Daphnia pulex: one gene and its partners. The main gene of each other region encodes a partner of the protein of the gene in region 3 in a complex. Links are inferred from orthologs where the notes say so. Each region holds a gene or a part of one and is shown on either strand. Other genes may lie near its edges.

Region 1 (4,190 bases), on a different chromosome or scaffold from region 3:
ACGCGAAAATATAGCAATATAATTCAATACACAATTTATTCAACATCTTTTGAAAATTTACATGAAATGAAAGTTTAAATTGAAAGTAGGCCTAATGAAATCAAAGTATTCGAAGTGCTTGGTATGCCTTGCCATTCAATCCTTTCAGCCCAATCAATGAGCAATAATTCTGAGGCCGGTCCACCTGAATCAGAATCACAAATAGTTTAAACAATGCATCATTAGAGTAAGATAAAAAGAAATACGATTAGATTCCCTTTAGTTGTTTCAGCCTTTTGTTTCGTTGCAATAATCTGTAGTAGTGCTGCTGGTAAAGGATATCTATGAGTTCTGACTCGAACATTGTCTGAATTCAAAGAATCTCCAATGACTGGTCTTTCACGTTGGAGATTGAACAACAGACATTCCAACTTTAGCTCTGCAGCCTGAGGGAAGGGATCTGGTTACAGAAGTGTTGTCACTTATAAATTTGATCATTAAATTACCAACACAGATGAGAGTGATGACGAGACTAGATGAGGTTCTTCTGTTCAACGTCTTATTCAAGCAGGTTGTAAAGGTGAATTCCATATGGATTTGGTACAGAAGTCTCTAACACAATATTTCTGTTTCCATCAGCCTCTTAAATGAATCTTGTCAGGCTTCAGTTTACTGCAGGAAGGTTGAATTGTTTTGATATCAAAACAATCCCTTCCTTCTGGGTCACTGGGTGCTGCTGTGCTGACGAAATTAACTTTCTCAGTTTTTGCTAGACAAAGAAATAGTTGTAGGAATAGAAATTAAACAAGATTAAGATTAGAAATTTAAATTCTTTCCTCAACAATAGTTAATAACTTAGAAGCTCTGTGAGAATCAAATCGTTGGCTACAAATAAGCTGTCAAATTTTTAACAACAAACCTGTTTCACTCCTTTTGCATCTCTCAACAGATCACTTAATTCTTGTCCGACGACATTTTGTTTGTTTTGCTTTTCAATAACACAATTAAAATCGGTTAATATTCTAATAAGCAAATAGTTATTTGTTTACTAAAAACGTGATATGGAAACGGAAACGAAGCCGTTCAAATAATGGAAAGGTTTCGGCTTCTTATTATAAAAAACAAGTTGATAATAAACTGAAACGAATCTGTGAACGGAAACGGGTCCGCTCACTGATTTGAAAAACGCGTTGATTTGTCAAAAATCGGTTAACTGAAACGAATCCGATTATGAATCAGCTAGAGGCGCTAGAGGGTAGGCATAACGTTATTGCCTTCATGCGACTCTAGCGTAAGAGAACGGAAACCAATCCGTTCTACAACCCTCAAAAAATCCGTTTTTTAACGACACGGAATCGGATCAGTATCAGTTCACTGGTGAAGACTGTGTTGTTTGACCGCTAGGCTTGACTCCACAAGTTAGTCTGCTTCGTTTGCCGTGGAAGATCTTGTAGCTTTTTTGCTTGTCCGGCAAGTTCAGACGGACTCAACGTTATTAATGCCTTGTTTACAAATTCGTTTCTAATAAACATTTAAAAATGAGTTTAGAAACGTGGGTTAGCGATCAGTTAATCGAGATATTGGACTTCAGTGACCGCTATACTTCTCAGTTTTTGACATCCCTGGCTCATAAAAGTTCTTCAGTGAATGAACTTATCGAAAAAGTTCGTTTCACAGACACTATCGATGTGACAAATGCAAAAGTGATGAGTTTTCTATCAGAGTTATGGGGAAAGATTCCGAGAGCTGCCCCTAAAGTAAATGTTGAAAGAATTGCCGCCAAGCAACAAGAACAAGCCATGTTAGCAATGATCGAAAAAAACAAGAGATATAAGCTGATAGAAGACAGCGATGAAGAAGGAATGGCACCACCTCCACCACCAGTAAATAAAAAGATCAAGAAGGAAAAGAAGAAGTCTGATTCAAGCAGTGAAGATGAAGATGAAAAACAACGAGTCAAAGATTTGAAGGAAAGAGATGAGTTCTCTGAACGTCTTAAACTCAAAGATAAAGATAAACAGAGGAATGTGGTTACTGTGGGAAAAGGTATATTTACTATTTAATATTTGTAATAACTATTAAAATAAAATGTTTAAATTATCTAGGTTTTGCTGAAGCTGCAAAGAGGCTTCAAATGGAGGCTGAAGACAAAGCCAGCGTTATTCCCAAACTCAGAGTGGAATCACGTCGAAAATATTTGGAGAAGCGAAAAGGAGACAAGATTAATGAATTGGAAGCAGATATTTTCGACGATGAGTACTTGTTCGATGAGCAACAACTCACGGAGCGTGAACGAAAGGATCGCGAATACAAGAAAAAAATTCTCAGTCTTGCGAAAGAACATGACAAAGCACGAGAATTGGAATTGGTTCAACGATACCATATGCCCGATGATAAGCGGGACAAAGCAATGCCTGATAGGTACGTCGAGATAGATGACCGTGAAAAGCAACCTCATTCCGAACAAAAAGTTTGGGAAGATGCTCGCATGGCCACTGCTCAGTGGAATTTCGGTGCCAGAGATGCAAAACAGCGTCTTCAGGAGAAGGGAAAAGTTCATGATTATGACCTCTTATTGGATGACACCATTGACTTTATCCAAACAAACCAACTTGCAGGAACCAAGGGTATCGAAGGTAAAGTAACACACCTAAAACCTTCTGAATAAATGTTTAATAATCTTATCCCTCCACCTTTTTTTTTCGTTTTAACTATATTAGAACAACCTGAGGTAAGCGACATCCAGAAAAAGAAAATGTCTCTTCAGGATACGAGGAAATCGCTTCCAATATTTCCGTTTCGCGAAGACTTACTCCAAGCCGTCGAAGACCATCAGATCCTGATCGTGGAAGGAGAGACTGGATCAGGAAAAACGACGCAAATTCCCCAGTATCTGTACGAAGCGGGATACTGTAAAGATGGCAAGAAAGTCGGTTGTACCCAACCACGTCGAGTTGCAGCCATGAGTGTTGCTGCTCGTGTCGCCCAGGTAGAATTCAATCAAGAATTGTAATCTTGACAAGGATCTTATTTTGTGCGATTCCGTTTACAGGAAATGGGCAAGAAACTCGGTAACGAAGTAGGCTACAGCATTCGATTTGAAGATTGCACGTCAGAGAGGACTGTTATCAAGTACATGACTGACGGTATGTTGCTGCGTGAATTTCTCTCTGAGCCCGATTTGCAGAGCTATAGTGTCATGATTATTGACGAAGCCCACGAGCGAACACTCCATACCGATATTCTTTTTGGGCTGATCAAGGTGAGCCGTCCTTACACAACAACTCTTAAATTGTTGAATAATTTCCTATAAATTCTTTCAGGATATTGCACGGTTTCGACCTGACCTGAAGCTGCTAATTTCCAGTGCTACATTGGACGCTGAAAAGTTTTCCGATTTCTTCGACGAAGCTCCTATATTTAGGATTCCCGGTCGAAGATTCCCAGTCGAAATTTTTTACACCAAAGCTCCTGAGGCTGATTATATCGATGCTTGCGTTGTCACTATTCTACAGATTCACGTCACACAAGACTCGGGTGACATTCTTGTCTTTCTTACTGGTCAAGAAGAAATTGAAACGGCACTGGAGAGTCTGACGGAACGTACTCGAAGATTGGGCACCAGGATCAAAGAGTTGCTTATTCTTCCTATCTACGCAAATTTACCGTCAGACATGCAGGTTCGTTTTTGCTTATTCAAAGTTTATCCTTTTCATATCTTTTCATTTTCTCTTGCCAGGCAAAAATTTTCGAGCCAACGCCTCCCGGAGCACGGAAATGCATTCTGGCTACGAATATCGCAGAAACGTCTTTGACTATTGACAACATTATCTTCGTCATTGACCCAGGCTTTTGCAAGCAAAATTCCTATAATGCCCGAACTGGCATGGAATCCCTTGTTGTCGTTCCTATTTCGAAAGCGTCGGCGAATCAACGAGCTGGACGTGCTGGACGTGTAGCAGCTGGCAAATGTTTCCGCCTATACACAGCATGGGCCTACAAGCACGAGCTTGAAGAGAACACTGTGCCAGAAATTCAGCGAGTTAATTTAGGCAACGTCGTTCTGCTTCTCAAATCACTTGGAATCAACGATTTGATTCACTTCGACTTTTTGGATCCGCCTCCGCACGAGACTTTGGCTTTGGCACTGGAACAACTCTACGCTCTAGGAGCCCTGAACCACATGGGCGAATTGACCAAGCTGGGCAGGC
Region 2 (2,543 bases), about 9.3 Mb from region 3:
GCAATAACAAAGAGAGAGACAGAAATTTAGATAGAGTTATATATCACGATGGGCTCTATTTTGCATAGATAATTACTTCATTATATACAATGATCTTCTCGGTAATAGTGCCGTGACCAAGACTTGGGGTCGCTGTATATGTATGAGCCTCATCACACTGGCTGTGAGCAGAGATATGCCCGATATGGTGGGGCCACAAAACTATGTTTAGAGAAATATACGAATAGATTAGAATGATAATTTCCAAACGCTGTCATCTATCATACCTTTATGCTGTCCAGATGTGGTTTGATGTGACCATTCTCAGCTAAATCAAGCACATGGACATGCTGCATCGTGGTAGTTGAAAAGGCAAAAGCTCTCAACCGATTTATAACACAGTCATTGACTTGATTCCAAGTAGGTTTCTCTGTTTCCCTGTATCCGTGGATAGCCTTTTGGGTTTCGAATAACAAATGGTGGTCATTCAACAGTCAGACAACCTACGTGAACACGAAATTTCAGACTTACATCATCCCAATGGTCATACTGATACCGGGACCTTTTGAACTTCACCTCCAACTCTTCCAATAGGTTATTCTCTTCTTCAGCACTGATGAAATCTTTGTAGACTTGAAAGTCTTTCTCAAGCATTTGCCTCGTCGCTTCATCGCAGTCGGGAGAGAATTCTAAATTTGGAGAGATCCCGCGGGTCTCTGCGGGAGTTGAGCATGTGCTTCTTGAATGGGAACAAGTAGCACTTAAAGGAATTGCGCGCTTCAAAACTGCACGAATATTGACCAGATAAAGCACCATATCTCGATGCTAAAATATTCAACCATTAAAAGTCGGACATCAAAATATTTCAAATCGGCAATTTTCTGCAAAGAGCAGACGACGTTTGCGTGTGTGTACGTGACATGCCATATTTCGTTTTGATTGCAATCAAATGTAAAAAATGATGTCATTAAAAATGACAGACGGTACTTTATTTAATGGACATGTATATTTAAAATAAATAGATTTAACAAAATTGGGCTGGGGTTAGTCACGCTAATATATTATTTCGTTTAATGTTAATACCTCAAAACCGACCAAATAAAGAATTATACCGCATAATGGAAATGTAGGGCCTATCTGATTTTCAAATTTATTTGATGGCCAAAGAAAACGATTCATCAAAACTCTAGCCTGCTGAGTTCTTCTCCTCACCAACCATTTGATTAACGTCTCGGGAAAATAGCCTCAGGCACCCCTTCTCGATTTCTTTAGTCTTTTTCAAATAACCAATTTCCATACATAAACAAAAATTATATTACTCTATCGAAATCATTAATCACTGAAACATAAGTTTACTACAGTTTGTATGAATTAAATCTGAATAGAATGAATGAAAATACTTTGTTGATATTAAAGTAAAATAAACGGCAACGCTGTATTGCAGACGATTTTTACAAGCCAAATACAAAGTGAAGCGAGTGAAGAAATCATGGCATCAACGTTAGATTCTTACGTTAATCGTGAGTTTTAATTATTATATTGTTTATTATTCACTGAAAAATTGTATCTTTCTTGTTCGCAGGTTCCGTATGTGTTATCACGAGTGATGGGAGGAATTTTATTGTAAGTTGTAACGCCCGATCACAAGGCATCATCCTCACTCAATAAACCGTTTGAAATAATTTCAATGTATTCTTTTTACAGGGTATTCTTAAAGGATTCGATCAGACTATCAACCTTATCATTGACGACAGTCATGAGAGAGTGTTTAGTTCTACCCAGGGAGTTGAACAAGTCCAACTGGGACTGCACATCATCAGAGGAGACAATGTGTATGTTTCATCCACTTATTAGCTGTAAAATAACTCAATCATAACTATTTCTTGTTGTAATTTCAGAGTTTTAATTGGGGAAATTGATAATGAACTTGATTCCAGACTCAATTTATCAGAAATAAGAGCAGAACCACTAGCTCAAATCCACCATTAAAGTTTGCATTATTCCATCATGATCACTTGAAATACAATCTTTTTTACAGCTTTGTAGAATCATTCATTTTTTTACAATTAGCTCTAGTTTAAGCAGTTCTTCTTCAACTACTTTAAGGTTTATGATGGTGTCTTCAGGGATCACTGTTACCTAATTAAATGAAAAATCATGAAAACAAGTTTTTACATTAATAAAAATCAGACTTAATATAATTTACTTGGTCGGTTTCAGTAGAATCATCTGGAATGGTATCTTCTAGCAAACAAAGAAGAGCATCATTTTCATAGGTTGGAAAGTAGTACCTAAAAGTTTATCCAATAAAATAGGATCCACAAATAGAAAATTTTGAATGTATCCGGCTTACTGTGACTGATCCCAAACTGCCCGATCGGGAAGTTTAAAGTGACTGAAGTTTTGCATGTGCTCTCTCAGTTTATCCCGGGATTCAAACTGCTCATCGCAAAGTATGCATTTCTTTTCATGCACTTGTCTCCTGACGTAGTTGACAATCTTAATTTGCTGATAGATACTAAAGCTCTTTTTCAGGCCCAGAAAATCAAAGTTACTGTGAGATG
Region 3 (2,886 bases):
AAGAGTGCTGAAACCTTAAAAATACCTGTATAAGGAAGTTTTAAAACTGTTGGATTGGCAGAAGAAGCATCTTGTGAAGATCTTTCCCCTTTATTCAATCCTGAAGCTGCCTCCAATAATCCAATTGCAGGGGATGGCGAAGAGGGCTGTGGATGTAATGTTGGATTCAATAAGGAAACTCCGATGACACCATGACTTGCAGAGCGAACATGTCCCTTAACTCCACCCGGCCAACCCCTGCTTGGCAGGGGGTTGACAGTTTCAAGCTCTATTGGGGGTTGCATCACATCAGGAAAAATGTAGGTGGTACCCGGTGAATCAAAATCCATACCGTCCCTGAAAATGAGAGAGTACCAAATTCAATTACAATTGAATTTCTTTAACCATTCACGAAACTAACTGTCAAGCTTGTGACTACCAACAACCAACTCAAAATCAACACAAACTTCTGAGCAATGGAAAAGGGAGAGTTATTTACTCACCAAACATCTTATTTCAATATTGCTGAAAAAGACAAGTCAGCTTTTGTTTTCAAAAAATGTCCATGGCAGACTAAAATCAACAAATCGTCTTAACAGTGGAACGATTGTTCGTTTATTTGGTCCAATGATGGAACCCAGTGAGGAAATGGAAGAAAAACAATCGGTTGGAAAGTGACGTCAACTTTAAAAAAAGTGCAAAAAGATGAAAGAATGGTAAGATAGAGTTTAGTGTCAGCAACTGAGCAACTTGTTGTGTGTCCACGTATATAACGGCAAATTCCAGCTGTGCACTGCTTTCAGCCTCTGCTGCATACACCGTACAAGCTTTACTGCCAGATTTTACACTCGGTAACCGATAATAAAGGAAATTGCGCGGAATGGACACCGGAGTGAAATAAGAAACCGGTTTGTTGACCGTTTAAAAGCTTCCAAAATGTAAAATTGAACCTAAAAAGTCTTTCTGTATCAAGACAAACTGTGATAAATTCCTATCTTTTTAATTCCGCGAAACGCAAAACCCTCTTTTATTACTTTTTAGAGAGCGCTAATTCTGGTTGTGAAGCTTCTCTGTTCTTGCCAATTTGTTAAAAAGACTTTTCATATCCACGACCACGAGTCACTTATTAAACAAAATCACTTAATAACGATACATAAAAAAAAATTCTCCTTTGGTTGTAAATTTTTCCAGCTATTATGATTGAAAACAGAATAGGTGACGTGAGTTTTTGGTCCGGAACCAGAGATCCGGGATCGTTGCTCTACGATGGATATCTCATTACATTACATCAAAAAATTATTTAAATAATCCTATTTTATAAGGTAATTTTAGTTCACTAGTTATTAGGTTTAAATATGTAAATTTCTTTCCTACAAAATGGAAAAACTTTCTCAAAATTTGATGTACTTAATAAGACGACTTGGCAACCCTTACTTCTGATCTTTACGTTACAGAACGTGTAAACTGAAATAACGCGGCTTGACTCGCTTGTCAAACATTCAATCAAATTTTGTAAAATCGTTGACTAAAACAAATACAAATCATGGCAGTAAGTTCAAAACCTAAATCTTGTTGGGTGGTCCTTTTTAGCCGACCATTTACTAACATGTTATATTTCATATTTTCAGGCACCCATGCCCATCAATCCCAAACCCTTTCTCAATGCCTTAACCGGCAAACCGATTATGGTAAAACTGAAGTGGGGCCATGAATACAAAGGTTATCTCGTTTCAGTTGATGGATACATGAATCTTCAGGTACTGTAATAATTATACCATGTAGTGCATTTTCATCAGTAAAAAAATGAAAACATGCTGTTGCACGAAACAGTGTGCATATATGAACAATGGCAATAATTCTTCTTATATTATCACAGTTGGCAAACACAGAAGAATATATTGATGGAAGCTGTACTGGAAACTTGGGTGAAGTTCTTGTCAGGTGCAACAATGTACTTTACATACGTGGAGTGGAAGAAGATGATGAGGAGGGAGAAATGAGAGATTGATTGCTGTTTGTATTGAATTTTTCATCCTTTAATACATAATGTCATTTCCTATCTATCTCATAGAAGTTATTGTATAGGAAACCTGGAAACCCTAAAAAATATGTTCTGGTGTATACATTACAAGATTCCCACAGACAACGAAGGACAAACAAGTAAAAAAACAGCTTTTCAGTATCCAAATTCCAAACACAGAACCGTTGTCTACCGTATTGGTGATTTAATGTTAAGTATACTGGAATTTCTTACGTTCCGGCGATTTTTTCCATTTAGTCGGAAAATAAAGGCTTTGTCTAAATGGAAAATGGTTAAGCTACCTTATGAATGAAGTTAGTAGGCAGCCCGCAGTCCCGCATGCTCGTAAAACTCAAGTCACATTTCTTTTCCACTTACACCAACTTGTTCGTAAATATATTTTGTAAGGTATAAATCAAAAAGGCAAACAAATCCGGAAACACCTTTTCCGATTGGCTCACGCTGGTACCAGCTGATGTCATAAGAATACCTAATTGCTTATGAATATTAATTGTTCAATACGTTTCAATTGGCCTGCATGTAACACGGCTGTTAACACTATAGGACGGTAAGCATGCGCAAGTTATCACTGTCGTTTGAACGTTAGGGGAGTTATAGGCTGTTGAACTCCGAGATGAATTACTACGGTTTGAAACAAATAATAAACATTGTACAAATGTACGTTCCTAACTAGACAACGAAGATTAAAACGTTACTGTCAGGATCACATTTAAGCAGGCGCAGGTGATGAGGTCAGTCAACTTCTTGGTTTTTCCTCGTGATTGCGATTCAGTTTCAAAGCCACGCCTAATGATTTTATTCATTTTAAATTTGCCATAAAAGTAGCCTCCACCTGCGTCAGACCAAGCGATTGTAGGGTCCTGTGT

What was found.
Region 1: small nuclear ribonucleoprotein F (region 3) and pre-mRNA-splicing factor ATP-dependent RNA helicase DHX16-like share a complex: the UniProt entries of both Homo sapiens proteins name them as parts of the minor spliceosome. The link is inferred for Daphnia pulex from reciprocal best matches to the Homo sapiens genes SNRPF and DHX16.
Region 2: small nuclear ribonucleoprotein F (region 3) and U6 snRNA-associated Sm-like protein LSm8 share a complex: the UniProt entries of both Homo sapiens proteins name them as parts of the U4/U6-U5 tri-snRNP complex. The link is inferred for Daphnia pulex from reciprocal best matches to the Homo sapiens genes SNRPF and LSM8.

What each region holds. Positions count from the first base shown.
Region 1 is NC_060022.1:5,692,109-5,696,298, reverse strand, and holds the start of pre-mRNA-splicing factor ATP-dependent RNA helicase DHX16-like, read left to right. Parts: upstream 1-1,367; 5' UTR 1,368-1,517; coding exon 1,518-2,025; intron 2,026-2,084; coding exon 2,085-2,615; intron 2,616-2,699; coding exon 2,700-2,968; intron 2,969-3,031; coding exon 3,032-3,241; intron 3,242-3,302; coding exon 3,303-3,659; intron 3,660-3,718; coding exon 3,719-4,190. UniProt on the Homo sapiens protein: Required for pre-mRNA splicing as a component of the spliceosome. Contributes to pre-mRNA splicing after spliceosome formation and prior to the first transesterification reaction.
Region 2 is NC_060019.1:331,089-333,631, forward strand, and holds U6 snRNA-associated Sm-like protein LSm8, read left to right. Parts: upstream 1-1,389; 5' UTR 1,390-1,468; coding exon 1,469-1,499; intron 1,500-1,561; coding exon 1,562-1,602; intron 1,603-1,683; coding exon 1,684-1,811; exon of another isoform or gene 1,812-1,877; coding exon 1,878-1,968; 3' UTR 1,969-2,020; downstream 2,021-2,543. Other genes in the region: alpha-ketoglutarate-dependent dioxygenase alkB homolog 7, mitochondrial-like, read right to left, coding at 77-201, 267-434, 511-795; zinc finger protein 277-like, read right to left, coding at 2,032-2,118, 2,186-2,270, 2,333-2,543. UniProt on the Homo sapiens protein: Plays a role in pre-mRNA splicing as component of the U4/U6-U5 tri-snRNP complex that is involved in spliceosome assembly, and as component of the precatalytic spliceosome (spliceosome B complex).
Region 3 is NC_060019.1:9,593,662-9,596,547, forward strand, and holds small nuclear ribonucleoprotein F, read left to right. Parts: upstream 1-1,381; 5' UTR 1,382-1,522; coding exon 1,523-1,528; intron 1,529-1,607; coding exon 1,608-1,736; intron 1,737-1,855; coding exon 1,856-1,987; 3' UTR 1,988-1,996; exon of another isoform or gene 1,997-2,038; intron 2,039-2,050; 3' UTR 2,051-2,232; downstream 2,233-2,886. Other genes in the region: phospholipid-transporting ATPase VD-like, read right to left, coding at 26-329. UniProt on the Homo sapiens protein: Plays a role in pre-mRNA splicing as a core component of the spliceosomal U1, U2, U4 and U5 small nuclear ribonucleoproteins (snRNPs), the building blocks of the spliceosome.